Caenorhabditis elegans: one gene and its partners. The protein of the gene in region 3 binds, or shares a complex with, the protein of the main gene of each other region. Each region holds a gene or a part of one and is shown on either strand. Other genes may lie near its edges. The genes, in order: eif-3.G, eif-3.I, eif-3.C and eif-3.K.

The links.
Region 1: eif-3.C (region 3) and eif-3.G share a complex: the UniProt entries of both Caenorhabditis elegans proteins name them as parts of the eukaryotic translation initiation factor 3 (eIF-3) complex.
Region 2: eif-3.C (region 3) and eif-3.I share a complex: the UniProt entries of both Caenorhabditis elegans proteins name them as parts of the eukaryotic translation initiation factor 3 (eIF-3) complex.
Region 4: eif-3.C (region 3) and eif-3.K share a complex: the UniProt entries of both Caenorhabditis elegans proteins name them as parts of the eukaryotic translation initiation factor 3 (eIF-3) complex.

Annotation. Positions count from the first base shown.
Region 1 is NC_003280.10:8,439,941-8,446,223, reverse strand, and holds eif-3.G (Eukaryotic translation initiation factor 3 subunit G), read right to left. Parts: upstream 3,458-6,283; 5' UTR 3,441-3,457; coding exon 3,424-3,440; intron 3,378-3,423; coding exon 3,325-3,377; intron 3,204-3,324; coding exon 3,124-3,203; intron 3,043-3,123; coding exon 2,660-3,042; intron 2,572-2,659; coding exon 2,316-2,571; 3' UTR 2,049-2,315; downstream 1-2,048. Other genes in the region: cut-3 (Cuticlin-3), read left to right, coding at 87-699, 745-954; evl-20 (ADP-ribosylation factor-like protein 2), read right to left, coding at 1,119-1,253, 1,448-1,578, 1,629-1,917; lips-10 (LIPaSe related), read right to left, coding at 4,223-4,415, 4,614-4,903, 5,508-5,688. UniProt on the Caenorhabditis elegans protein: RNA-binding component of the eukaryotic translation initiation factor 3 (eIF-3) complex, which is involved in protein synthesis of a specialized repertoire of mRNAs and, together with other initiation factors, stimulates binding of mRNA and methionyl-tRNAi to the 40S ribosome.
Region 2 is NC_003279.8:2,482,908-2,491,443, reverse strand, and holds eif-3.I (Eukaryotic translation initiation factor 3 subunit I), read right to left. Parts: upstream 5,584-8,536; 5' UTR 5,576-5,583; coding exon 5,440-5,575; intron 4,637-5,439; coding exon 4,203-4,636; intron 3,233-4,202; coding exon 2,878-3,232; intron 2,004-2,877; coding exon 1,945-2,003; 3' UTR 1,657-1,944; downstream 1-1,656. Other genes in the region: ddx-10 (ATP-dependent RNA helicase), read right to left, coding at 587-1,207, 1,254-1,460; Y74C10AR.2 (Conserved secreted protein), read right to left, coding at 7,792-8,241; abtm-1 (Iron-sulfur clusters transporter ABCB7, mitochondrial), read left to right, coding at 6,062-6,121, 6,169-6,246. UniProt on the Caenorhabditis elegans protein: Component of the eukaryotic translation initiation factor 3 (eIF-3) complex, which is involved in protein synthesis of a specialized repertoire of mRNAs and, together with other initiation factors, stimulates binding of mRNA and methionyl-tRNAi to the 40S ribosome.
Region 3 is NC_003279.8:9,975,099-9,983,193, forward strand, and holds eif-3.C (Eukaryotic translation initiation factor 3 subunit C), read right to left. Parts: upstream 4,565-8,095; 5' UTR 4,563-4,564; coding exon 4,462-4,562; intron 4,414-4,461; coding exon 4,180-4,413; intron 4,099-4,179; coding exon 3,213-4,098; intron 3,167-3,212; coding exon 2,049-3,166; intron 1,998-2,048; coding exon 1,640-1,997; 3' UTR 1,328-1,639; downstream 1-1,327. Other genes in the region: T23D8.3 (Protein LTV1 homolog), read right to left, coding at 234-674, 1,006-1,188; Beta-catenin homolog sys-1, read right to left, coding at 5,396-5,478, 5,531-6,035, 6,087-6,413, 6,645-6,870, 6,927-7,462, 7,508-7,585, 7,641-7,748, 7,798-8,095. UniProt on the Caenorhabditis elegans protein: Component of the eukaryotic translation initiation factor 3 (eIF-3) complex, which is involved in protein synthesis of a specialized repertoire of mRNAs and, together with other initiation factors, stimulates binding of mRNA and methionyl-tRNAi to the 40S ribosome.
Region 4 is NC_003283.11:12,951,160-12,957,421, reverse strand, and holds eif-3.K (Eukaryotic translation initiation factor 3 subunit K), read right to left. Parts: upstream 3,421-6,262; coding exon 3,245-3,420; intron 3,198-3,244; coding exon 2,999-3,197; intron 2,820-2,998; coding exon 2,726-2,819; intron 2,674-2,725; coding exon 2,467-2,673; intron 2,358-2,466; coding exon 2,311-2,357; 3' UTR 2,193-2,310; downstream 1-2,192. Other genes in the region: mpst-7 (Rhodanese domain-containing protein), read left to right, coding at 1,980-2,135; pqn-68 (D-aminoacyl-tRNA deacylase), read right to left, coding at 4,234-4,425, 4,481-4,684, 4,728-4,784; T16G1.18 (uncharacterized protein), read right to left, coding at 5,399-5,485, 5,993-6,085. UniProt on the Caenorhabditis elegans protein: Component of the eukaryotic translation initiation factor 3 (eIF-3) complex, which is involved in protein synthesis of a specialized repertoire of mRNAs and, together with other initiation factors, stimulates binding of mRNA and methionyl-tRNAi to the 40S ribosome.

The DNA of each region.
Region 1 (6,283 bases), on a different chromosome or scaffold from region 3:
CTTCTTGAAGGTTTAGGATACCGAAATTATAAAGCTTGATATCAACTAGAAGCTTCTCGTTAAAAAAATGCAAATTGAATTTCCAGTGCCTACCGTGTTCAATGCTTCTACATGGAAGCCGACAAGACAGTCTCTACCCAAATTGAAGTCTCTGATCTTACCACCGCTTTCCAAACCCAGGTTGTTCCAATGCCAATCTGTAAATACGAGATTCTTAACGGAGGACCAACTGGAGAACCAGTTCAATTCGCAACTATTGGACAACAAGTCTATCACAAATGGACCTGTGATTCTGAAACCGTTGATACTTTCTGCGCTGTCGTTCACTCTTGCACTGTTGATGATGGAAATGGTGATACCGTGCAAATTTTGGATGAGAACGGTTGTGCTCTTGATAAGTTCTTGCTCAACAATTTGGAATATCCAACTGATTTGATGGCTGGACAAGAGGCTCACGTCTACAAATACGCTGATCGTTCTCAACTTTTCTATCAATGCCAGATTTCCATTACTGTTAAGGAACCAAATGAGGAGTGTGCTCGCCCAACGTGCTCTGAGCCACAAGGATTTGGAGCAGTTAAGCAAGCTAACCAAACTGCTCAGTTCTTCAGAGTTTTGAAGAAGAGATCCGCTCCAGTAATGGAGAATATTCTTGATGTCCGTGCTGAGCTCACAACTTTGGAAGTTTTGGAAGGAAATGTAAGTTGTCAAAATGGTGTTCATTTGCTCATTCATTGTTTTCAGCTCCCATCTTCTCTCACACAAGCTCAAGCTCTCGTAGCTTCGAGAGAAATCGGAGAAGATTCATTCCGACAAGAATTGTGTATCAGCTCTTTCCATATCTCCGTTGTCACTGTCTTCCTTGGTCTTACCGTTTTCGTGGCTATTTTCATCACTTATATGATCGTATCCCGTATGATGGTGCCATCCGACAAGATGCAATCAGCTTGTTAAATCTCCAACCATGTCAACCGAAATCTCGGTGTGCAATTTTCTTATATAATTTATTGAAGCCCTTATTATTTTGTTTTTCAATGAAAAATAAATTAAAATCTATAATTTTTATATATTTACAAGCAGTGTGAAATGAGATCAAAGCAGTTTGATTGATAACAATTTTAATCAAGTATGAATAATCGACTTCCAACATCATCGCATAACCATGTCATTGCTTGGACCAGTCGATCACCAGAAAGTGCACAGCAACTAAAGATCTTCCAGTGATGGGATTTGATGGAATGGAGATCGAGTACCTAGAAAATTCTTAATAGGTTGAGTAGTTTCAAGGTTCCTATGTTTCCGTGCCTCTTTAAAGATTTTCTTCATTTTCAAAATGTATGTTACGAGAGTAACATGTGAATAATGAATCTAATATAAATATCTACATGTTAAGGCTTACAAGAAAGCATTTCTTTTCGGAAGTATATACTGAAGACATCTGAATTACCTGTGCTATTGAATTCACATCAATGGCCCCTGGCAGATCACTTTTGTTGGCAAGAACTAGAAGAGAAGCACCGGCTAATCGTTCTTCTCCGAGCAATTTTTTGAGTTCTTCGGAGCATTGTAGAAGACGCTCTGAAAAAAGTTTTTATAAATTTGAATGTATCCTAAATATTTGTTTCTACCTCTATCTGACGAATCTACCACCCAAATTAAAGCATCTGTGGATTCGAAATAATTCTTCCAATAAGATCTTAGACTTTTCTGTCCGCCAACATCCCATAAGTTTAGTTGAAAATCTTTGAAATGCACGGTTTTGATATCAAATCCTAATGTTGGTTCAATTGTATCAGTCGGCTCGTCGAGGAATTTTTTCATTAAAGTAGTCTTTCCAGCGTTGTCTAATCCAAGAATTAATATTCTCATCTCGCGTTCCCGAGCACGTTGCTTACGGAGAATCTTCAAGAAGCCCATCTGGAATTTTTGAGTTATAAAATGTTCTATTGCGTTTGAAAATTTTTAGCCATCAGATTTTTATTCAAACTATGATATTTTACATTGGACAGAAACCCAACTCGATTGGAAAAATAGAACGAAAAAATAACCAGGAAGAGATAGATTTATCATTGAAGAAAGAAAAGGAAATACCAACAATTTTCATAGCTAGAACTGCCTTCGTGAAAATAAACTTCACTTGCCAACTCTGATAACCATAGAAAGTAAAAATTATGATTTCAATAGGAAAGAACAACAAACATCGAATTGGTCTACAGTAATTTTCAGTTTAGACAGACACTAGCTACGAAATTATGAAGAACCAAACAGCGGGAAAACATCCAAGTACGCATAACATAAATAAATCAGAAAACGGATTAGTTGCTCGGACGTGTCCATTCGACTTTGAGAACCATATGGTACATTCGGATATCATTGAGTTCTGCAATTGCACGGGCGGCGTCATCTCTTGATTCAAATGTAACGAAGGCGAATCCTTTCGGGAGACCAGTGACTTTGTCACGGGCAATGAAGATTCGGATGACTCTTCCAATCTTTCCGAACAAATCACGAAGTTCGTCTTCGTTCATCTCTTGCGGAAGATTGGTGACACGGCATGTATTCTCATCGGATCTGAAAGTATGTTTTAAAAATAGTTCATAAATTATTCAATCATCAAGATTTTTTGGGCAACTTAGATTACAGTATTTTGAATGCTTACCGATTTCTATCGATTTGTCTTCCATCAGGACGCATTCCCATTGCCATTCTATCCTTTTCAGTATCCTTGTCAGCATCAGCTTCCTCGTCCAATTGGTACATGACCTTGTAAGGACAATGAGTACTCCAATGGTCGTTTCCTTTGCAATGACGGCAATGCTCACGGCTTGTAGTTTTAGCAGTCTGTTTGTCTTCTTGAACGTCAAGAATCTGCTCTCCTGCGCGATTTCTTGTGAATTGCATATCGACTTCTTCAGCCACGTAAGTTGTGGCAACTTGGGGTCCTGCTGGCTCTCCCTTACAACTTCCGAATTTCACCCATTTTTTGCGATCAGCGACGACTTTTGGTACACGTTTGTTGATAACTTTGAACTGTGTCACAACCTGAAATTTGGAATTGAAAGAATTCTAGAGCATAACTCGAGAATTCTGTAAGGCGAATTTTTTGGCCATCGGATAACAAACCTTCCATCTTACTCCATCAACCTCAGTGAAAGCTGTTTCGGTACGTGTTCCATCAGCTCCTTCCTGGATGTGTGGGGCGTCTGCAAAAGCGTTCATCAGTTCATACAGAAATGACTCGTTTTGTTAGGCGGTTGCACTCCAAATGCGAAAACCGTGAAAGTTCACGTAAATATTCTTGAAGACGAGAAATGAAAAACTTACTGTCTTGCTCAACGGCCTCAGCCCAGCTTACAACTTCTGGAGCGGGAGCCATTCTGAAACTTTCTTTACGTAAATAATTATTCGAGGGTGAAAACTCACGCGTTAATGCCAGTCATAGCTGTAACTTTACTACCTGAAAAACTATTGATTATGTTTTTAGCAATATAAAATAAGAAAAAATTTCAAATAAATGGTTTAACAAACTTCAGAATTAAAAAGAAACAGCTCTTCAAAACATGTAGATTTTAAAGTATTTGATTTTTTTTTCCAGAATAAGCGAATATTCAACTAGATTCATAGTTTTTAGCAAATATCTATAAAAACAAACTATAAATATGTAAAAAAAATATTCTACAACAAAAACACGGCTGGAAATCTTTTAAAAATGTAGAAATATCCCGAAAATCGAAAATTTGGGAAACAACGACGCATTGGGAAATCTGTGCATTTGCGCGTGGGATCATGTGTTTGCAGAATTGCGCACCGTATTGCCCAAAAGCCAAATGGCGCCGCCGCTCCGGTTTTCACAGATTATTCAGTCTCATCGGAAGAGATTTCTGAAGAAAATAATAAATATCTTCGTTTTCGGAGAAAATCACAACATTGTATCATGTGTCTAGATTGATCTGCGAAATATAGCAGTTTCCTATCTCTATTCTTATGAGAATTCTTACAAGTCGCCTGATGGACTTGATCACTTGGACGAATTTAACATTCTGATCATTTTCGTTCAAAATACCAATTTAATCAACGATTGTACTGATTTATTAAACTTTTGAACAATATACACACAAAGTTTTGAATGAAAGCAACGAGTTCGAATCAATATAAACAAGGAAATTAAAGAGATCACAAGTGAAATTTGATGTCAATTAGTATTTTTGGTGAGATTTTGTTTTTATGAGGTTTGAAGAGCCCTCCATTGATCTTCTGTAGTTCCACCAATAACTGCTCCATGCATTAGTCTAGTTTTGACGATTGAAGTGGCTCCTTCTAATGGTGAGGACATCTCTCCACACGTATTTCTGAGTCCAATAACTTCGTCAGCTACGGAATAAATGGCGAACATGTTCTTTCCGTATTGGAACGGCCTGAAAAAAATGTTGACTTGTAAAATCATGAAATTAATGTTTATGTGTACAGAAAACAACGTAATTAAATTTAAGTATGCCCTAGTATACCCAAAAAATGAAAAGCCTTGCTGGCTTAGTGGCTAAAAGTTTTGCCTTTCACGCACACCTGCATGAGTTCAATTCCCTGTGCTGGGATACTTTTTTTGCGAAACTTACTGTGAGTTGATCTCTTGTAAGAACTTGGAACGGCAATCCAAACCATGTGTTAAACTACAGATTCCATTCACAAATGGCTGCTTGGCGCACATAATAGCTCCGTGATTTGCTCCACCAACAGAAACATAATTATGAATTAGATGATTAATTGGGCGTCCCAAATTGACTCCACTATCAACACAGTGTCCTCCAAGAATAGCTTTTCTGGTAATTGGAGATCCCATGGAGCAAGCAATGATGTTTACTGGTTTCTGAGTGTATTCATGAACAGCAAGAATGAGAGTGCGAACCTGAAATTTTAGAGTTACAGTTTGGATTGCAATATTCCTTTCGTTGATTGTAATCCCTATTTCACCTATAGATTCCCCTTCATCTTTTCTTTTAGAATATCCTTCTCAATCCGGATCCCTTCCGAAAGATGTCTACCCAACCAGTCATTATAAATCTGTGTTTTGTGTAGTTTGTAAACAATCCCTTCTTTTTTCGGGTCACGTCCTTTTTCCGTTTCAACGTCACTCCGGCCGTTATCAATCGGGTCTTGAAAGATCACCGATCATCCCTTTGTTCTCTATTTATCTATATTAACAGACGAGATCAAACCCAGAAGTTATAGAAATTCCCCCACAAGGCCAGTCTAACTGTGACCATCACAAACTACACATTCACTACACCAGTGGCGCCGCGTCAGAACGGAGACATGATATGGCGAGGTTTTCTCATTGTAAAGATTAGATTTAATGATGATGATGTTGGTGATGATGACAATAGTTACACTACACTTGATCTTAGCTTTTGCAAGTGTTCCTCTTGTAGTTTTCAGAGTCTAAATTAAATTCCCAAATCAAAATGATTTCTCATGTCTATTATATAATCCCATCATTTCTTTACACCTACCTTCAACACATAATCGCATTGCATTCCGTGTTGCAATGAGTCCATCAGCTTTCCTCTTGCATATGTTGTTGCGAATACAGTTCCCTTTGGTTGCCCATACGAATAGTATTTGTTCAATAAACTTTTCTTTGATAATCCAGCGTATCCAGCCAACCCGTGAATTACCACAATTGGAAGACCCCTAAAAGAAACACTTTTTATGAACGGGTGTGTGAAAATACTTGTTCCATCTTGTTTGCGTTTGTTTCGGATCAGGATACGATCAGAAATCGGGATTTGTGACGTCACACACAATGATACGAACACAAACCACCATACATATTTGTGTCGGAATCGTCTTGACCATCAAGTCATGACTGATTCAGTGTGAGAACAAAATGTAATTGGAGGCTACACTTATAGAGGTCAAGTGACACTGCACGGTTTTCTCGTCATCTATGTGTAGCAATCTTTCGATCACTACAACTGTTTTTTTTCGTGTTTTTTTCAAAAAATAAAATCATGACATCATTCTGATTTGAAAGGTGTGATCTGGTTGACATCAGATCATTGGTTATCTGAAGCCGGTCACTAGAACATTGTTCGTCTAGTTCTGATAATAGGTTGCAACAAAATGTCGTAGATCTATCTGTTTAATATTTTAGTTGACTTAGTTTTTGTGACAAATTATTTCAAGTTATTACACACCTAAATTCCAGTCTTGGAATATACGAAATTCAAAAAAGTCTTCTTTGAAAGAAATTGAAATATATATTTGTCGAATTGCAATTGTAAAT
Region 2 (8,536 bases), 7.5 Mb from region 3:
GTTAAAATTTGAGTTTCATCTCAATTTTTTAATCAACAAAAATATAAATTCCACTCCACTACAACAAAAATTCAAAGTTACAGTACTCTTTAAAGGCGCACAGCCATTTGTATTGAACAAAAATTGTCGTGTCGAGACCGGATACCGTATTTTATGGCCAATTTTGGTATTTTGGTGTGAAATACCAATTTTCTGACTTAAAATTGACCAGTTTTTGCAGATTTTCATATCAAAAAAGTAAAAAGAGAAGCTTATCACCGCATTTTTGTCGCAAAAGAGCCGAACTTTTAAATTTTAATCGAAAAAAGTCATTTTAGAAGTTTTTTGGACGAATTTCATGCAAATTTTTGAAAATTGAGAGTTATTTTCCAAGAAAATTGAGTTTTAAGGCACGGAAAAATTAGTTTCTGGATTTTTTTTAGTGTTAAAATTTGAGAATAAATTTTTAAGCAAAAATTGAGATTTTGGGAAATTAATCGAATTCTTAGACGTGGAAAACGTGTTTAAATTGCCGATTTTTCCGTGTTCCTATTCAATTAATGAACCATTCCGGAATTATTTCAATTTTCCGGGCGAAATCCCTCACATTTGTGCAAACTCTGCACAAATCCTTGACATTTCGTGTCTGAGTAGCCGAAAAGAGCAGCGTCTGACGTTCCGCGGGCAAATTATTAATGATCGAGTTGAGCTGCTTCGAGAATCCCATATCAAGCATTCGATCCGCCTCGTCGAGCACCAAAACTTGAAGCGAATCACAGCTCATTTGAGCATTCTCATCCATGTGTTGTAGGAGACGTCCCGGTGTGCAAACGATGATATTAATCCCGCTGATGCGATTTCTCTCGAATGCCACGTCACTTCCGCCGATAACCAAGCCACACGAGAATCCGTGATGGGCTCCGACGGCGTTAATTGTGCTAAATGTCTGAAGAGCCAGCTCTCGTGTCGGTGAAATGATTAGCGCTCCGAGACCATAGTCTGGAGACCATTTTGCTCGCCAAAGAGCCTCCAGCACGGGGATCACCAGTGCCAGAGTCTTTCCGCTGCCGGTTTTTGCGGCTCCGACGACATCTGAGCCGGTCAGAGAGTAGGCAATCGTGTCCCGTTGGATTTCTGTGGGTTTTGTGTAGTCATTATCCTTGAGACCCTCCAGTGTCCTCCAGGAGAGCGGGAAATCCTCGAAGCGGAGAAATGTGCGGGAGCTTTTCTGGAAAAATCGATTTTTTAATAAAAAAACTATTTTTTAGAGCTACCTTGAGCATTTCCTGATATTTCTGCTCAACTTCGTCGAGCATTGTCTCCTCCTGTCCCTTTAAATCCTGTTTTCTCTTTTTCAGAAGCCGCTTCTCCTTCAACGCTTTTCTGACACTTGGATCCTGCTCGCCATCGAAATTTCGTTTTCTTTTATTATTTCCAGCCCATTTCTGTGCTCCGCCGCCTTTTCCGTTTGTGTGAGGCATTGAAAACGCTGAAAATTGGGTAAAAATATTTAAAAATTGCAGGAAAAATCGTGCGCGGCAGTTGCGAAAAAAGCGTGCCAGGGTTGCATTCTGACTCCGCCCACAATTTTTCTTAATTTTTAATTGAGAAAAAATTAATTTTTTTTAAAAATATAATAATTGGAGATTAAAACCAAGAAATTCGAGGGAATAGATCAATTTTAACTCAAAATAATATTTATTTATGAAAAAAAAAACAATTAAAAGCCACCGAAAATTGATCTTAAATATGGAAAAAATGGAAAAAACAGAAAATCACCACCGCGTAATTTTAGAATTTGATAAATTTTAAAGGTTTTCCGAACTGCATAGGCTTAAATTCGTCATTTAAACTCTAAAATTAGGCGGTTTTCAACAGGAACGAGTAGGAAAAAGGGGGAAACGGTCTTTTTTTGGCAAATACGATCGCCCGGGAAACAGGAAGAAAACGAAAACGTAGAACAAATTAAAAATCGTAGGTGAAGCCGAGGTAGTCCTCGTCGAACTCTTGAATTCTGATGTAACCTGGAAAAAAATCAATAATTTTTGAATTTTTATATGAAAAATCCTCAAATCGCACTGCAACTTTTTTTTGAACGAGGGACGAGGAAATGCGGTTTCTAGGCCATGGCCGAGGATCCGACAAGATTTATCGGCAATTTATCTTGCAATGTTTTCCGCGAGTTTTCTTTTATTTTTCACCGATTTTTCCCCCGTTTTTTTCTTATTAAAACTGATAAATAAATTTTTTTAAAACCAGATGCTAAAATAATTTCCAAGTGAAAAAAATTGTGAATTCAGCCGGCAAGTAGCGGTGAAAGTGGTCAATGTAATATGATGGATTACGGGAATACTAAACACTAAACTTTTTTCGAAACATGATACATATGCTGCTTAGAGGCTGAAACTACCTGATTTTAATAACGAGACCGCTGAAAAAGTTTTTTGAGATTTTCAAAATTCAACATTTTGTGGAAAAATCTCGACTTTTTCGCCAAAAAGGTTGAATTTTGAAAATCTCAAAACTTTTTCAGCGGTCTCGTTATTAAAATCAGGTAGTTTCAGCATCTAAGCAGCATTTATAGCATGTTTTGGAAGAAAGTTTAGGTTTAGTATTCCCGTAATCCATCATATTACATTGACCACTTCCACCGCTACTTGCCGGCTGAATTCACAATTTTTTCACTTGAAAATTATTTTAGCATCTGCAAAAACAATATTTCTTCATCAGTTTTAATAAGAAAAAACGGGGGAAACATCGGTGAAAAATAAAAGAAAAAACGCGGAAAACAAAGCAAGATAAATTGCTGATAAATCTTGTCGGATCCTCGGTCATGGCCTAGAAACCGCATTTCCTCGTCCCTCGTTCAAAAAAAAAGTTGCAGTGGAATCCCCATACCGTCTTCTCCTCCAGTCGCGATAATTGTGCCCGATGGATGCCAGGCCATCGTGTTAATCGGTCCGAAATGTCCCTTGAATCTGGCGAATTCCTCTTCGAACACCATATGATAGATCTTGGCTTCAAAGTGTCCAGCAGAGACAGACGTCTGTGTGACCTGCATCGCGTCTTCTCCTCCTCCAAGGCAAATGTGATCGCGATTCGGTGAGATGCATGCCGAGTTGACGGGACGCTCGGATTTGTATTGTTTCAGCTTTTTCAGATCGTTCACGTCGAGCAGGGCGGCCGTCTTGTCGCGTGAAGCGGAGATCAGGAAATCGCCGCGTGGTGATAGTTGGAGATCTTGGACGCTGTACTGAAATTTTGGGAAATTTTTTTTTTGAAATTATTTTAGAAATCACGGAGGCACCACGGATTAAAGATCTCGTCGAATTCCGGATCTGGCACCGTGCCAACTGCAGTTTTCGCAGTTTTCTCGAAGAAAAATGTGGTTTTTTTTTAAATTTTCTTCAGGAAAAACGCTAAACAACACGCGATGCGTAACATCGGAGCATCGTTGTCAGGATTTTTTCCAGAAAAATTGCGTTAATTTTTTTTGAGTTGGTACGGTGCCAGATCCGGAATTCCACAAGATCTTGAATTTCGTGGAGCCTCGGTCTTATAATCATTGGAGCGCGCTTGCTGACACCTCACGAACTCCCGAATTCGCGGAATTTTGTTTCCACGGGAAATAAGGTTTTTTTGCTAATTTTGGTTTCTATGGAAATTAATATAAATTTTTGATGGATATTGTTGTTGGGAAGCTTTATACGACTCGAAAACGCGTAAAATTTAAGGTTTTACATCAAAAATCGGGAGTTTTTTGATTTCAGAATTTTAAAATATACATTTTTTGTAGAGAAAAATACAGTTTTAATTGATTTAATTGGTTTTTTCATTGAAAAAAATTAGAATAATCAAAATAATCAATCACTGCCGGATTTTGCTGCTTTTTCTCTTCAAAATGAGATTTTCACGGCTTTCAAATCGAAAAAACTGCCGATTTTGTTCCATTTTTCGAGAAAACTAAATTATTTCTTCGAATTTTTGGTTTTAATCTTGTGTGCGGAGTCAGGATGCAACCCTGGCACGCCTTCTTCGCAACTGTGCCGCGCACGGTTTTTTAATGCGAAATTTCGCCAATTTTCCAAATTGTACACACTTTCGGCTCTAATAATGTTTCCCCACAACAATAAAAACCAAAAATTAGCAATAAAATTTCCGCCAATTCAGGAGATCGTAAAGTGTCAGCAAGCGCTCCAGAGAACAACGAAAAAATGACGAACACGATGAACACTCTCGTTAGTGTGAATTGGTGTATCCGGATTTCTCAAATCGTACTGCTGAAGGAGTCCAGACTCGAATCCGATCGTCACGAGGTCATCCATCTGAGTGAAAAGTGCGGTCGTGGCGTTCACATCGAATTGTGAGTAGAAGAATGACTCTCCACCCTCAACCATTTGACTTGAATCACGAAGATCTCGGACTTGGAACGTCGAGAGATTCTTTGTCATCTTTTGTGTGGTGAAGCACACCAAATTTCCTGAATACGAGAATCCGCACGACTTCATCGGAGTCTGATGGTTGATTGTGTAGAGGCAGTTGCCGAGCTCGGCATCCCAAATCTTCACGGTGAGGTCTCCGGACGCGGTGACACACTTGGTAGTGTCCCATGAGACGTCGATATCCCACACGGCTCCGTTATGCCCGTCGTAGCTACCTGAAAAGAAAAATAATAAATAAATATATTTAAAAGGTGGAGTAGCGTCAGTGGGAAAATTGCTTTAAAACATGCATATGGTACCACAGTGACCGAATATCATGATTAAAAATTTCAAAAAAATTTTCTAAATTTTATATGATTTTTTGAAAAATTGAAAAAAATCTCAGTTTTTGCCTAATTCCAATTTTAATTACCGCCAATTGGATTTGTTCGATGGAGCGCGCTTGCACGTTTTAAAATTTATTTATTTTATTTTTTGTTATTTTCCAACGATTTTTAATGTTTTCGATGTATTTTTGCTTGAATTTTAGAGAAAAAGTCAAAATAATTGCAAATTTTCGATTAAAAAGCACGCTTAGAGGCGTAAAAAATGAAAAGTAACGCTTTTAAACGATTTCGAACCTGAATTAATAAATTTCACTGATTTACGCCTGTAAGCGTGCTTTTTAATTGAAAATTTGCAATTCTTTTGACTTTTTCTCTAAAATTCAAGCAAAAATACACCGAAAACATTAAAAATCGGTGGAAAATAACAATAAATAAAATAAATAAATTTAAAAACGTGCAAGCGCGCTCCATCGAACAAATCCAATTGGCGGTAATTAAAATTGAAATTAGGCAAAAACTGAGATTTTTTCAATTTTCAAAAAATCATATAAAATTTAGAAAATTTTTTTGAAATTTTTAATCATGATATTCGGTCATTGTGGTACCATATGCATGTTTTAAAGCAATTTTCCCACTAGCGCTACTCCACCTTTAATTCTGCGAAAATTTTTCGCGAAAATATTCAAAAATACCGATTCTCTCTCCATTTTCAGTATACCAAACGCATGGCTTCTTGTCCTTAGCACAGGAGAACGTCAAATCTCCCTCACGATTGAAACGGACCCGAGTGAGAGCACGTTCGTGGCCTTTCAGCGAAAGTGGACGCATTTCTGAAAGAAATCCCCTATTTTTGAAGGTTTCTGCGAGAAATTGGTGGAATATTCGGCAGTTTTGATTATAAAATGAATTATTGGCTTAATTATTAATAAATTCCATTAAAAAAATGAAAATTAGAAGCCAGAAAACATGGGAAATATTCGAAAAATAAGCGAAAAAACAACAAGAAATAGGATTTGGCTCAACCTCCGCAATTTGGCGTGACAGTGTTTGCGGACTTGCGTACCGTACCCCCGCGCAGAATAATCGACATCAGCTGACGAAATTTCGATTTTCAGCAATTTTCAGCAATTTCGAGTGGTTTTCAGTAGTTTTCAACAATTAAAAAGTGAATTTTATCAAATTTTTAGCAATATATTAATTAAAAACTCAAATTTTAACATGTTCCACCACAAATAACTGCTAAATTTCGCAACTCTCAATTCTCATCGATTTTTTTGCGAAAGCTTCACCGAATCCAGTTTTCAGAGATCGATAATGTTACAATTACGACTAATAGCTGGCCTACGGAACGCGTCAAACACTATCAGATCGCAGGTATCGTTAAAAAACCCGAGAATTTCCGGTAAAATATTGATTTTCAGGCAGTTTACCGCAGTTTCTCGTCACTGACAAAATCACCAGCACTCATCAGAAATGCCACACAGATTCTTAGTAAAAATGTGGGGTTTTGCGATAATTTGTTGAAAAAAACGTTTTAAAATCCTTAAAAAACATTTTATAGAAATTTCCATGAATTTTTAGGTTAAAAATATGTATTTTCACATTTTTTAAAGCTAATTCCAGAAATTTTTGCCTCGAAAAAGTTAATTTTTAGCCAATTAGAGCGAAAAATAAGCTTGTGGTCTCGAAGCGAAAACTACAGTCTCTAAAGTTAGAATTAAATTTTGCTATGCGCCTTTAAAGCTTTTACGGTAGCTGAGATATCGATTTTTCTCTTTTATAAATTAATTTTTTTCTGAATTTTCTTCAAAAAATTCCATTTTAGGCCTAATATATATCGAAATTTTCACTTTTTCTGCTCAAAAAATATATAATTTCTAAAAAAAAAAGCAGTTTATTTTGAAAAAAAAAACAGAAATTTGTGAAAAAGTTGCTGGAAAGCACCACTGGAACGTGGGAATCTTTCCAGAACTGGAAAAATCTAGCATTTTTCTTAAGAAAAGTCCAGTTTTTCGGGGAAAATTGGATTTTTTCACCTTAAAATCATTTTAAAAAAATGCTTAAAAATCAACAAATGGAATCTGCGAAAATTGGATTTTACCTCGAAAAATATGATTTTCAGTAGAATTTTAATGGAAAAATTGAATTTTCCGTTGAACTTCGTTCAAAGTAGCAACTTTCCGTGCTTAGAATCGTATTTTTAAGCAAAAATACGATGAAATAGCACGTTTTCCAGGAATTGTGTTGTCGCAAGCTTCAAACAATTCTCAAAAATCACAAATTTGAGATGAAGCTCGGAAGCTCCAAAGGAACTTGGAAAGTTGCATTTTTCATCCGAAAAACCCAGTTTTTTGGTGTAAAATTAGGTTTTTACACCCTAAAATCATGAAAAAATGCTCAAAAATCAACTTTATTAGCTCAAAAAGCACCAAAAACGTGTCCCAAATTCGAAAAAAGACATTAAAAAATCAATTAATTCTTCTTCTGAGCTTCTGATCCGAACTCAAAACTGAGTTCTCCTTCGTTATTCTGCTTACATTTCACATTTTGTCCATTATCAAGTTGTCCACTGGCATTCAACTCTAACAGCTCATCGGAGCAAACGAAACCTGCGGTTTACCTCGAAAAATATGAATTTCAGTGGAATTTTAATGGAAAAATTGAATTTTCCGTTGAATTTTGGTCAAAATAGCGATTTTTCGAGCAAAAAATCGTATTTTTAAGCTAAAATACGATGAAATAGCACGTTTTTCAGAAATTGTGCAGTTTTGTTCAATCGGAAGCTTTAAATAATTCTCAAAAATCACAAATTTGAGATGAAGCTCAACTGCTTAAGCTAAGGCTTAGGCTTAGGCTTTTCTACTCCACGGGAACATGAGAATACCTCCACAAGTGGAACAATTTTGCGTTTTTTCCCAGTTTTTTTTGGTGAAAATTCGATTTTTCTACCTTAAAATCATGAAAAAATGCTTAAAAATCAACTTTATTAGCTCAAAAAGCTCAAAAACGTGTCCCAAATTCGAAAAAAGACATTAAAAAATCAATTAATTCTTCTTCTGAGCTTCTGATCCGAATTCAAAACTGAATTCTCCTTCGTTATTCTGCTTACATTTCACATTTTGTCTATTATCAAGTTGTCCGCTGGCATTCAACTCCAACAGCTCAAGCCCCGCCTTCTTATTGAGCACACAACCAATCGGAGCAAACGAGATGTATCCATTGCTCATCTCACATTTATATCTGAATCCGACGGCATTATTCTTGTACATTCGATCGATTGTCTCCTCGTTCTTCACGAATTGCGATTTCTCGTCCTGTTCCCAACTGGCAAAGCATCCGGCTGTCTCGTATTTGCTCACACATGCCTCGTAGTAACTTCCCTTGCCGATTCGGCGCCGGTTTCCGAGATCACAGTCGTCACCGACTTTTAGGGACAAAACTGTGCTCGACGCCATGAGTACGATGGCGGTGAAGAGGGCCAGTGTTGAGCTCATTTTCTGGAGAAAATTCAGAGTTTGCGGAGCTTGAAAACCTGGATTTACGGGGAAAAAGTCGATGAGAAACCGGAATTGCTGTGATTTTTTCGAAATTTTGGAGCTAAAAATCACTTTTTTCGGCAAAAAATGTTTGAAAATGGGAGTGTTTTTGATCTTACTAGGCCTAGGTTTAGGCTGAGGCTTTGGCTTAGGATTAGGCTTAGGTTAAGGATCAGCCTCAGGCTTAGGATTAGGCTAGATTTAGGCTTAGGCTCAGGCTTAAACTTAGGTTTAGGCAAAGGCTTAGGCTTAA
Region 3 (8,095 bases):
ATTTTCCGGAAAACCAAAAAATCTAAGAACAATTTTTTAAAAAAAATCTAGTCAAAAAATCATTTTTTTTTAAATCAAGTCTTTCTTATGGTAAAGAGAAAAAATTAAAAACATATCCTTTCATTCTAAAGAGAGGAAAAATGGCGAAAATTTATGGCATTTTTCGAAAACTGTTCGATTTTTAAATAAGTTTAATTATCATATTTTTCAAGCCAATAATTCTGAAATAATACCTGATCGGTGTTGTATTCACGATCCATGAGTTCTTCAAAAGCATTATCAATAACTCTTTGATCAGCTCTTTCAACTCTAATCTCTCCAACAGCCTCTTCTCCAAATAACTCGTCATCATTATAATCATCATACATCTCATCGTCTTCATCGTCATCCTCTTCTTCTTCCGAATCTTCACCTCGTCTTGTACTTCTATAAACTGTAGTTCTTTCATCAAGAAGACCACCAGCAAGTGTGATAAAATTATCTTCAAGTTCTCCGGTGTTACGATCATCTGTCACCTCTTCCAACGCATTTGCAACATCTTCGTCAAAAAATTCCGGTTTCTTAAGAGCACCGACAAGTCCGAAAAGTGGTGGAGCTGGTGGGAATGCTGATGAACCACTCGTTTTGATGGTCGTTTTCTCGACTTCTTCATGAACATTTTCCAGCTTCATCGGCTGAAAATTTAAATGATTATTTTACCAATACAAGAAGATTGTTTTTCGATTATGTTCTAAAAGAGGTGATCGAAAAATTGTTTTTTTTTTGATTTTCCGTAATATGGAAAACTTTTTTTTAATCATCCATAAAATTCAATTTTATGAAATAATGTAAAAAATGCTGATTAAAAAAACATAGAAATTTTTTACTTAAAAGAAGTACAAAGACCAAAATTTTAAGCTATTTTTTGACATATCCTAAAATCTTTTGATTTCATTGAAAAATCGAAAAACAAACACTTTTTTTTAAGTTTCGGTATTTGATCAAATTGATTTTAAGATGACAAACCTCATTAACAGCTCGCATGTGCTGCAAATAATCATAATCATCGTCGTAGTAGACTCCATACTTTTGCTGTTCCTCCAAATGTTCTTGAGTTGGCTTGAATCGTTCACTTCTTTCCCTATTATCCGGAACCAATCGAAAACTTTGACTGGCTTTCTTATCAATGAATGCCTTCCTTTTACCCATTTTGAGGCGAAATTTATGTTTCCAGTAACCTGAAATATGAATTCTATGTTAATTTTTTGTTACTTTTATTGTTGGATCTGAGAAAATAACTGATTGGACAGAACCGGGGCTCATAAAAAATTACTTAAAATTGGACGAATCAAATTAAATATTTCATTAAAATAATATCCGGCAACCCAATATAAATAATTAGCAAAAACAAAACAGTATGGAAAGAGTATAACTTAAACACTACTAACCGGAAACGAAAAATGAGAGCTTTAAAGTTCAGATCTCACACTGAACAAGGAAAAGTGGGAAAGGGTGGGGGATTACCAAAAAAACTGATCAATTAAATAAAAGATTCAACAAGTATTGGCGCCTGCAAAAAGTTTTTGAGACTAATTGCAGGCGCCATGAAAGGCGTATTAGCGGGTTCCACGAATGGGAGAGACGATTGAAAAATGGATATTTAGAAGGCTCGTGGCTTTTGAGGATGACGACGTTGCTGACCACCTTGAGATCCCCAATTTCCTCGCTTTCCGTCTTGTCCTTGTCCTCCACGTCGTTCTCCTTGGTATCCACCAGATCCTTTCTGCTTATCTCCTTGCCGCTCGTTCCTTCCTGGAAACCACGATCCTGGACCTTGATAACCACCACGTCCAGTGCGCGGCTCCAGAATTTGTTCATTGTTTTCGGCAAGAGTTTGAAGTTTGTCAGACAAGTTGAGAGCAAGCATTTGAAGTCTGGAAGGTTCAACACGGTGCATGATGAGACAGTCGGTGGGCTCGTCAAGTGTAGCCGAAAGTTCCTCTTGGATGATCATTTTACTGAAAAAATAAAAAAAAATTATGTACTGTCTAGTAAAATATTACAAATACCTGATGATGCTATGAACATCTTTCTTTGAAAGTTCGAACAAATCCGCAAGCTTCTTGAGCGAAACAGTGGCATAAACTGTAGAGTATGTGAGCAAATAAGTTCTGAGAGATTCCTCTTGAATACGTCTCACAACCATTCCCTTAACAGTCTCAGCGTTATGGAAAAGATTCCAGACCTTCTGGTTCATCTTGTCATTGACGATATAGTCTTGACACTTTTTCCAATCTCCATTCAACATTGCTTTCGATGCGGCGACAACATGTTCACGGGTATTCTCTGGTGGTCCAGTGAGAGAAGCTTTCTCGCTTTGCTTCAATTGGTAATGGAAACTTCTGCTGAGCATACGACGACGCATTTCGAATTCGCAACTAGCCATGTGTGGAATTTCGAGAAGCATCGAACAGATCAGATAGACACACTCCATAAGTTCAACATTGATGTGCATATGATATGGAACTTGACGGGAACGATCAATCTTCTCTTGTTCAGCAGTCTTTTCGTGCTGACGAGTTCCAACAGCTTGAGCAAGCAACTCCTTGGCACGTTGGGTATTTTGAATTTCAGATAGTCCTTGATGAGCTTCGCGAATGAAACCGTGTCGGAAAGCGCAGAGACCGAGTTGGCAGATAGTTCTGTTGTAGAGGATTTGAGTGTCGACATCAGAATGATCAACGATAGCTTGCATGTGACTCATAAGAAGAAGATCTCTGGCGCGGTGCCACTTGTCATGAACAGCCAGATAGTAAACATGGCAGAGCATAGCACGTTGTCTCAATCGTTTCTCATCATCAAGTGTATAGATCTTATTACACAAGTAATCCATCAACTTTCCAGCATCCTCCTCATTTTGATCTTGATATTTGTAGTAGGCATGCTCGATGCGCATCATGTACACTTTGCAAACTTCGTGTTTATCGAAAATGCCAGAATCGTTACGAAGTTCAACGTACTTCTCGGCCTTTTCAATGAGTGAGCACATATCCTTCTCGGCCTTCAACTTCTCGATATAATCATTGGAATGACAATCGGCGTTTTGAAGAATTTTAGCCAACTCTCCGTCCAATCTTTGCACAGCAATCAGAATACTTCCTTGAATGCGATACTCTTGAGTGTCATCCTGCAAATATTAGGATTTTTATTAATTTTAGGAATGCAAGTATTACCTTCAGATTTTCATCTTCTTCAGCATATGTCACAGATAACTTTACACGATCAGTTCCGATGAGAAGATCGAGCAAGCTGTTGACGGTTTGCAGAGTGGTCATGAATGTTTCGTACTCCATGTGATCACTAATTTTAGCGTTCAATTCGAAAAGAGCCGAGATTATGCAGAAACTGATTTTAACGTTGATTCCTAGACCAAGTTCTTTCTCTTCCGATACCTCCAAAAGTTTTCGAAGATTAGCAACATGTTGATTACGATCTGTCGTTCGTTTTCCACGAGCCGACATAACCTCATTGAGTTTCTTAATCATAACGTCATGAGTAACTTCTTCCTTGGGATCAAAGTGAACAACAGACTTCTCACGATTAACTGGAGTCCAATCCGCATCATCGTCTTCCTCGACAGCTTCTTTGACTCTGATAACTCTCTTCTTCTTTTCTTTCTTGTCATCTTTGCTCTCCACGCGGAATTCTTTTTTCAAGAAATACCTACGAAGTTGCTCCATCTTAGTCACACTGTCTTCGTCATCAGAAGAATTGGATTCTGGTTCAGAAGACCAGTTAGAGGAGTCGTCATCGTCGCTGTCACTGTCACTATCGCTCACTGCAGCTTTCTCAGATGGTTTTCCAGGTGACTTTTCAGCCTTCGATTCAGAAACCTCTCCAAAATCATCGTCGTCTTCATCTTCTGGAGTTTCATATCCATCCTCGTCAGGATTAACGCGATAATCGGTAACAAGATCTTGCAGTTGTTGATCCTTGATGTATTTTTTCAGTTTTTGACGAAGAGGTGGAAGAGCTTTTGCGTTGTTCTTCGAAAGAGCAGATTTAGCATCTTTATCATCCCATAATTTATTTACGTAGTCTTCGATTTCCACAAGAGACCTGAAATATTTTATATCAACTACTAAGTTTTCATTAGCATTTTATTTTATGATGTGACTGTAAATTAAAAATATATCTCACCTTATGTAAAATCTTGGATTTGCGACATTCTGACGTTGAAAGACCGTCTTGGACTTATCATAAGCTTTGGCCAGAGAATCAAAACCTGTTAGAAGTCTGTTCAGATCTTTGTTGCTCTTTGCATCTCGATTTTGCTTGATAATTCCTTTCAGCTCATCGAATTTTTTGTCCTTTTGGGCACGAACAACACGCTTCTCATCTTCTTCAGGACCGGCCATGAAATCGAGATCATCGCTGAAAGATTAATCAATCTTTTGGAATTACTTTGGAGATTATAATTACCGAAATTTCGCGCTTTTGTTCACTTTTTGATCCTCTACCTCATCCTCGCTGGACGAAGTGTCGGAATCAGAGTCCTCCTTAGCATGGAAGAAGCGAGACATTGCTGAAACAAAATTGACATTATGAAATCCCAAAACAAGAAGCAAACAAGCAGTAGATACACAATTAGACAGAAATTCCAATATTATTTAAAATTTAAAATGAATAAAACGATTTTCCCTTTGAAAACAATTCAAAAAACAGCTAATGGGTCAATATTTAGCTGAAATAAATTTAAGTGGAAGTGGAACATAAGAAAATCGTTGCAAGACCTTACTGGCGCGTTTCGCGTGCACGGGAGATGCGTCAGCACTCGCCACTTGCGCCAGTGGGCATTTGCGCGGAGATTTAAATAATAATTTATTATTTAATCACAATTCCACAATTTCAGGTTAATTTTACAGAACGAGAATAGTCTCTAAATAACTTATATATGAACCGAGTATTCAGTAAATCAATCCAACATTTAAAAAGTTTTATAATTTTATTTTCTATTCAACGTAAGAACATCGAAGAAAGACGTATATAAGACAGGAATTTGATAGTTAAAATGCAAAGATAATCGCGAAAATGTTTTGTATTCAAAAATATTATGCTACAGACGTAAACAAAGAAACAACAAAAAGAAAGAGATAAACCGAGGGCAAAATGAGAAGAAATGTGCTATAAATTAGGAAAATCGGAACGTTTTGTTTGTTCTAAACTCGAATTCATATGAAATCGTCAAGAATGAGGAAATTTGGGACCGGTAGAAAATGAAGAAAAGAAGAGAGAACATATTTTAATCAATAATACGACTATGTACACGCTAAAACAGCTTCCAACTAGACGAATTAATGGCTTTGAACGGGGATTTTTGGGATGAAAGATGGAGTTGACAGATTTATCCATTAAATCAGAAATATTCTCGATTTGAAAAAATACCAGCAAGAAGGTCGTTTTCAGGGAAGCGACTCAGCAGAGAATTCGCGGCTTTAGCTGAAAAAATGCATTGTAATTTAATTTATGAACACATTTTCGAGACACATACCTATATCTGAATTTCTATGATTCGTCAGTCCTTCCAACATCGGCCTGTCAATCGTCCAAATATCCGCACGCGTCGGGCAGTGCTCCAAAATCTTGTCACATACAACAAGCACATTGTGAATAAACGTTGGTTTCACTTGATTTCCGTTCAGCAGATTTAATGGGCAATCAATTGAATACGAGTACTGTGCCACCTCTTTTTCAGCTCCACATTGCTCCATGAGCACAAGCAATAAACTTATGGTACGTTCAACAAGTTGCTGCTTTGTGGATTGAGTTCTTGTATTGTTCGGTTGACGAAAAACCCATGAATAGGCGGCACAAATGTGTCCTATTAAATTTTCCTTCCGATTTTCATCAATAACATTCAGAACACCGTCTTTTGGAACAAATGGTGTTCGGAGTAACAGTATAAAAGATCGGAGAATTGTACTTCGAAGTTCCAATAAACCAGGTGTATCCATTCCTTCACATGATAAACAACTCATCAGTTTTTTCAGAATATCCTGAAATAATTTAATTCATTTTTATATCGTTTTTCAAATTCCAAAACGTACAATTTCGATGAATTTGCAGACCTGCTGCTTTTCATTCGGTCCAGCCGTTTTCGTTTCTCCATTGGGCGTTGGAATCCACATCATCAGGAAATTGTTCAATGTACGCAGACAATTGCAAATAATTTCACAAACTCGATTTCTTTTCGGAGCATCGGTAAGTTCATCTAGTCGTGGATACTTTGAGATTATCGTGTGAAGTAGGAAAATTGCATTGGATCGTATAGCAATATCTTTTACGTGTTGTTTATGAGCCACTACGTTACTCAGAAATCCTGTTCCACTATAGATAACTTCATCATCCGGATGAATTTCGATGAGTCTCAGTAACTGAAAATTTCCGGTTTTAAACAGTTTATTTGAAGGGAGAGAAGTTTTTTTTTAATTTGAATAGACTAAAACTAGCCTGAAACGACCGAATTTAATAATGAAACTTCTTACAAAAGTGAAGTATCACTATGGAATTAGATAGGTTTGGGGCATCTAGTATAATTTTTTAAAGTAAAAGAACACATAAATAATTTTCTAATAGTCCAGTGATTTTCTAAACGTAAAACTTACGAATGGTAATATATTCTCCAATGGAGTCTTCGCCAAGGCTTTTGCATCAGAGACCTGAAGTAAGAGCTTACATCCAGCTCTTATCAAATCATTGTTTGGATACTGTACTACAGTAGTAATTGCTCCAACTCCATCAGACCGTACGAATCCATCAATTGCATCGGAATCATGAAGGAGAAGACCCAGAAGATCAAATGTTCGGATTATAACTTGGATAAGATGAGCTCTGGAAAATTAATATAACTTGTTAGTGATGGAGGAATTTTTCATTTTTAAACTTACAATTCTGGATTTTGAGGTAATGTTTCAGGATTTTGGCCTGCAATCAATCGATACGATCCGATCATTACAGCATTCAATTTTATAATTAATCCTGTTGGCGGAGGAGGTTGATCATGTGGATTATTGTTCCATATGAAGTAATCTTTCAATCGAGTATCCTTGCTAATAATAAATCGAAAAATGATGAAAATTGCTGGATTTATCATTCCCGGGTGTACTTGAGGATTAAAGTACTCGGAGAGAGTGCCAACGAGTTTTTCGAATTTCAAATGTTGAGCGAATTCTGTTCTCAATTTCTCGTTTTTCACTCCCATTATGATACAGTTGAAAATTTGAAACACCTGATTTGCGCAGTGTTTCATGTGAGGATCTTTTTGCCAATTTAACGAAATCAAATTGCAAATCAATTCTCGAAAATCTTGTGGACCATTCTCTCGAGGACAAAACATTTGAACAACTTGATGAATATATGGTGAAATAATGGGTAGAAATGTGAATCTTCGAAGAATATCCAACAGATTATACCAGAGTTGAGCCTGAAAAAATATGATTTGAAATCTGTAATTTGTGTTGAGACTTACATAATATGAAATTGGAAGTTGAACTGGTTGAGGTTTCAGACCATCGTAAATTATGTTAAGGATTTGTTGTACGCAGTTCTGAAAAAAATTACAGATTTTGTAAAAAGAATTCCAACATTTTTGGAAAACTCACCGGCATATTTGCCTGATCAACTTGTGCAAATTTATCTTGTCGTATCCAAGTTCGTATTGTTTTTGCCATATGAAGTCTTTGCATGGGATCTGGTGTATTAAACCATAGCTGAAATTGAACTTTATCAAGATTCATTATTGATTTTTCAATTACAAACCCTAATTGCTTGTTCAGCCGCTTGTGTTATATTCATTTGCATCATTTCAGGATTCACATTTTCACATGTTGAACCATTTGATGAGTAGCATCGCTGAGAATCGGGAAATTGATTTGTCATGGTTGTATTCACACTGAGCATTGACATTCGATCGTCTCCTTGATGATATGACATAACTGATGGAGCAACTGGTGGAGCAGGAGATTGAGAATATGGCCATGCTTGATTGTTGATCCATTGTTCTGTCCGAAATTTTTGATTCTGTGCGGGAGCCGCTGGACCTCGTGAAGGTGACGGT
Region 4 (6,262 bases), on a different chromosome or scaffold from region 3:
GATTATTGCGCGAAAATTCGCGCGCCTTTAAAGTCGTAGAAGTGGGAAAAAATGCACAGTAGCACATTTTTTAATGAAAGAAACAGAATCAACATTCGTTCTGTGCTATTTTTGAAGCAATAGGTTCAAGTTACATGAAATAATGTGAAATGGATTTTCTAATTTGTAGAAATTATAAGATAGCTCCGAATTCCTACAAAATGCAACAAAAAATGGAATGTTCCTAAGACACTGCGAAACTCATTACTGCACGGAAACAGCAATATGAACATTTGAAGTTGTGGAATTCACCGAATTAATTATATCCTACAAAATAGAGAGAAAAAAAATTTTCAAAAAAAAAAATTTTTTTTGAGCAAAAAAAAATTTTACTCTATAGGCAGTCATCCCCATTTTTCTTCGATTCCTTGTTCATAATCGAGAACTAATGCATTTTGAAAAAAAAGCGATCAGTTGTAACTGAAAGCTGTCAAGTAAGCCTAATACAATGAAAATGAGCAAAAAAATTGACTTTGTGCTCTTCTGGAGCACAAAAATGCTCCATGTCGGCATGGGAATACATTTTTGTAAGTATGGGAACAAATGTATGTGTGGGAATGTCGGCATGGGAACGTTCGACTACTGGATGTAAGCATGGGAATTTTGTATGCACGGGAGAAAATGTATGTATGGGAATGTCAGCATGGGAACGAAAAAAATGGGAAAAATGAGTTGTAGGCATAGGAGTACTTCGACTACTGGATGTAAGCATCAGAATATTTTGTATGCACGGGAGAAAATGTATGTATGGGAATGTCAGCATGGGAACGAAAAAAAAGGGAAAAATGAGTTGTAGGCATAGGAGTACTTCGACTACTGGATGTAAGCATCAGAATATTTTGTATGCACGGGAGAAAATGTATGTATGGGAATGTCAGCATGGGAACGGAAAAAAAGGAGAAAAATTAATTGTAGGCATGGGAGTACTCGAACTACTGGGCGTAAGCATGGGAATTTTGTGTGCACGGGAGAAAGTGTCAGCATGGGAAATGTGTGCATGGGAAATGTGAGCATGGGATAGATTGCCTCGAAAAAACGGTAATTTGGCACGCGGCACTTCCCACACAAACACACCTCCCACGCACGCCAATAATTTTCAGATGTATGATTTTTATGTTAAATTTTAAGTTAAAGAAGTGAAGAAGCGTTTTTGATTGTTTTTGTAGCATATAAAAATTTTCTGTGTCGACACTGGCGCCTAGCAAGAACCTTTGAATTTTTCATGAATTCAACTTTGCGAAATTTACTCAGTTTTTTTGGTTTCGCAAGGCGTAACGACCCACAAAATTATCCGAGCTCAATTTTCTAAAAAAATTCTGGAAAGTCAGGTCAAAACGTCTCGAAAAATACTAAAATGAATTTTTCTGCATACTGCTACTCGCCGCTCACATCCATCTTTCTGGCGACTATGCCATTCAAGACTTAACCTACTGCCGCAGTCCATGACAGAAATACCGTGATAGAAATTATTTGGATTTTTGTTTTTAAAGAATCTCTAGACCAAGAGCATTCTTTGAACTATAAAACTTGTAAGACACTTGATGGATTCCTCGAGAAAAATGTAGAAAAACCGCAGAATGCCGACTTGCGTGCCATAAAGGTCGTGATCTCAAAAGTTCTGAAGGCCTGCAGCGATGCGGATGGGAACATTTTGAAAATTCAAAACGTTCATCTGGTCAGTATTTTATGGAGAACAAAACTTGTACAAATTGATGTAATAACTCTCTTCACTAGTAAAGTTATAGAGCTGCAAACGTGTTACCATACTTTTGGCCCACCCTGTAAACAAGATAATTTCATTGAAAAATGCAAAATTAAAGAAGTACCATAAACTTATTTGCGCGTCGAGACCAATCTGGATGAATCCATGCGTCTTCGAGAAGACATGCTAAAATCTTTTGAAATTATGATAATATTTCTCGCTAGATCATATTCTTCAGATTATATACTGTTCCACGTCACTTCGATCGGCAATGGTTTGGTGGGCTTTGACACGATCTGGTTACAATGGGAAGATCTATTTTGGCGGGTGGCCTGAATGGGTAGTCAGAGCACCTGACGGTTTGAGAGTCATCGGAGCAACGACGGAGACTTGACGCTAAAAGAAGATCCATGTTAAATATTATATGCATAAAATGCGGGTAAAAGTGAATATTGAATAAAGTTCATGAAAACATAAAGGAAATATAAATAGGAAAGGGAATAGAAACGGGGGAAAACCGAACAACAGAAACAAGGGTATTATAATTTGAATGACAGTGATAATTGATATTAAAGAGTCAACGGGGGTTGAATGCTGGTCAGAAGATCGGCGACATCTGAAAATGATAGATGCACTTGAGATTTTACTAGGCATTTTAAATTTGTTCTTCGATTATTAGGACATTTTTTAAATCGTTTGAAAAACCTAATACGCATAATACTCACGTGGGAATTGAATTTTCTCGTCGATATTTCTTGTTTTGATAGTTCCTTCGTGATTTGCAACAAAGAAAACATCTCCATTTTCCTTGGCTTCCCATCCGAATGATTGTGCCAGTGCGGTAACTTCCTTGTCACTGGCTCCGCCGAGAAGACGGCTCAACATTTTCTTTTCGATTTTTTGGAACGTAACACTGATGACGCGACAAGCATCTGAAAACTTGGTATTGAAATTGTCAAGCAATAAAAATAATATTTAACTGACAGTGCTTGACAGCATCCTCGAATCCGACCATTGGCTTGATCATTTTTGGGACTTCGCCAGGAACTTTGAAGGGTTCATTTGGGTTCGTTGTTGGCTGAAATTTTAAAAATTGATTAGTCGTACGCCGAAATTAAAGAATATTCCAAAAATAAATAGATTCAGCATTGAAATAAATACTGAGTTTCAGATGCACACAAAACAAGGTTTGATTTTGAAAAGCTCACTTGTTTCAATATTAGATAAATCTATTCTTTGAAAAGTGTAAAAACTCACTTTATACGCCCCCTTCACCAATTTCCAGAAAACAGCGAAGTTGCAAGATTCGAGCACAGCTCCAAGATCAAAGATTCTGCGAAGTTCTTGAGATCCGAGTCTGTTGGTGTCGATGAGACACTTGGCGAGAGCGAAATCACTCGATGGCAAAACCATCAACGTCTTGAGCAAAACTTGTCGAACAACAGCCTCGTCGTACCTGTGAAAAATTCTCTTTGAAATTTATTAATCTTCTTGAATACTTACTTCTCCGGGTTAAGCTGGTAGAGCTTGAGAATGGTCAAAACGATATCTTTATCGTACTTGTTTTCATTGACCATAGCTTGAACGCAGGCAGCCAAGTCGGCAACATTTTCCGGATTGTATCGGTTTACTCCTTCGATAGCTTCGTGCAATTCCTTTTGCAGTTTCTCGAACGACATCTTAAAAACAAATTATAGCAATTGAAGAAAAGAAACTCTGCGAGAAATAATAAGTAGAGTGAAACTCCTGAACAGACTCGATGAAGTCCTGCGCAAAGTGAAAAAAATCTTGCATAAAGTTGCGCACATCTTTTGTCAAATCGATTAAAATTACGCTAAGTTTCTCCATTAATTAGAAAAAAAGCTACAGAACACATCAAAACTGATAGAAAAATATTTAAGAGAAAGAAAAAAAATTTTCTCAATCAAAATAACAATAGTTTTAAAGGCGCATCGAATAAATCTGAAGGCATATCCTGCACAGATCTTCCTCGATTTTAGAGGCACTCCCCATTTGGGTTAAGAGATTTCAGTGAACTCGATTTGCTATCAGACAAACTGAAATGGAGACGTTTTTCCAAGTTTTTTTTTCAGTTTTTAATGAGATTTACATTAGAAATAAGAAAAAACTATTGTTAGAGGAAAACTCAGCGTATGGGTTTCGCCACGCTGATATCGGGTTACTGTAACTGGTGTCAAATTAAGGGCCACATTTGCCTCATAATTTTCAAATTAAAGGAAAAATTTCTGTTACGATTTATATAATCAAAATTTAATGCAAAATCCATAAATCGACAAAAGTTACAGTAAGTCGTCGTCTGCGTGGTGAGACCAATGTGCGTAAGATATTGAAAACTCGCATTTAAGGTATACGTAATATGAGGTTTTGCCAGAGAATATAAATATATGAAAATAATTAAGATATGATGACGGAATCAAACCGCTGTATGAACAAAATTGTACAAAATTCAACAGTAGTAAAACAAATTTTTATTATTTTTCTTTACTATCAAAAGTAACTGTAACAGGTCCGTCATTTACAATATCGACGCTCATCATTGCTGCAAATTTGCCGTCCTGAATCTTATCAGCTTTGTAAGCTTTTTTCATGGCTTCAAGAAAAGAAGCATAAAATTTTGAAGCTTCTGTTGGGGCCATTGCGGTATGAAAGTCCAGTTTATTTCCCTAAAAAACGAAATAATATGAATAGTTTTGTTTAAGTATATTAGACAAAACTCACTTTAAACTGACCGTAAAGGGTGAACTGACTGACAGACAGCACTTCTAAATCGAGATCCATAACTGATTTATCCCATGGTTTTTGTTCCGAAGCAGGGAAAACTCGTAGATTCAAAATTTTCCTAATGATATACTTCATATCCTCTTCCGTGTCATCTCGATGAACTCCGACAAGCACACACAGACCTCTTCCAATGGAACCTACCTGATTATGATATTTTAAACAATAACGGTTAATATATTCTTACCACTTCATCACCTACGGTGACTGCAGCTCGAGTAACTCGTTGAAGAACTACCTTCATTTCTGAAAAAAATTGAAACAACTAATGTTAAAAATACAAAAAAAAACAGATGAAAACTATTGAAATGTTCTCTTGAAAACCCTAAAAATAAATGAAAAATGTTTGCTAAACAGAGCGCGCTAACGACACTCCACCGTATTACTAGTCCTCAAAGGCTCGGCCAGCGCGACGTGGAATCTGTACACGGTCTCCTTCACAAGAAATGTACCAACTCTCTCGCGGTTTGCTTGCTGGCCACCTTGCCGTTGTTTTCAACAGGAGTTCTTAAATTTGAGCAGAAATCGATGATACGGTAGACTGTAGCAGCTATAGCCTTGATTGTAGAAAGTGGATGCACTTCATAGATTTTGAGCATATATAACTCTGTTCATGTTTGAGATAGAGACTAATGATAAACTGACAAAATGAGCATTACAAAAAGACAGACATTTCTTAAGTTGAGAGTTTTTTGATATCTCTTCTCAATAAAAAGATACGACCATAACTTGATGGCTGTGGTTTTACATGCCACCCTTAATTAAAACCTTACAATCTCCGTTATCTTTAAAGATACAACAATTTTATTAACCAAATATTATGACAAGCAGATTTAAAACAATTTTTACTAACAAGAACTACATTTCTATATACAAAAAATTATGGGGATTTTGACATTTCCAAGTTGGCCATCTTAAACCGGCTATACCACTAAGTCCTGAAACCTGAAATTGATATTTCAATTGGGAACTTATTTTATATGAGATATCTAACAATTTTGTGAATACTTTCTTCTAACTTTTAAAAAAAGTATTTCATGAACTGTTATTTGACTTTCTAATCAATGTAGCTTTTGGGGACATGCAACTAGTCTGTCTTACAGGTTAGAAAAATATTGTCAACTAAAGAAATATTAATCATTTCAAACTGAACATTTTGTTATGTAGTTATCAGCTCTTCAGTAAAGAGGGTACTGTAGTAGCCAGCGTAATCTTTGGACCGAAATTTCTCTCTTTTAACTCAACTAATAAGTTTTTCCATTAGCCGCTTTTCACTTTAAGCCAACTTTTTTTAAATTCAAAAAACCTTCAAAAATCGACAATGTAGTACTGAGTTAACTTAGTACTACATTGTCGACTGGAGTTGATATTTATCCTTTAAATTACTCTTTTGTATACAGACATTTTTATATGTCTTATACTTCAAAAGGTTCAACAAAAATGTCTACATACTAGAGCCGGACGGTAGATCAATATGTGCAAAATAAATGAGATCAGATGTAGGAGTGAGAGACGCAGAGACCGTATGTTTCTCTGCCGTCTCATCTTGTGGAGGAGGCCCACAACATGTCAAATGCTACGTGGCCGTGAATATTAGTTAAACCATAGGCCGGGAACACTGCAATTGGTGGTCACTTACCAGCCAAATTAACCCACTTCTCAACCAACTTTTTTCAATTTTTTCCAATTTTTGCCAACTTTTGGTAACTCTTTCCAGTTGTT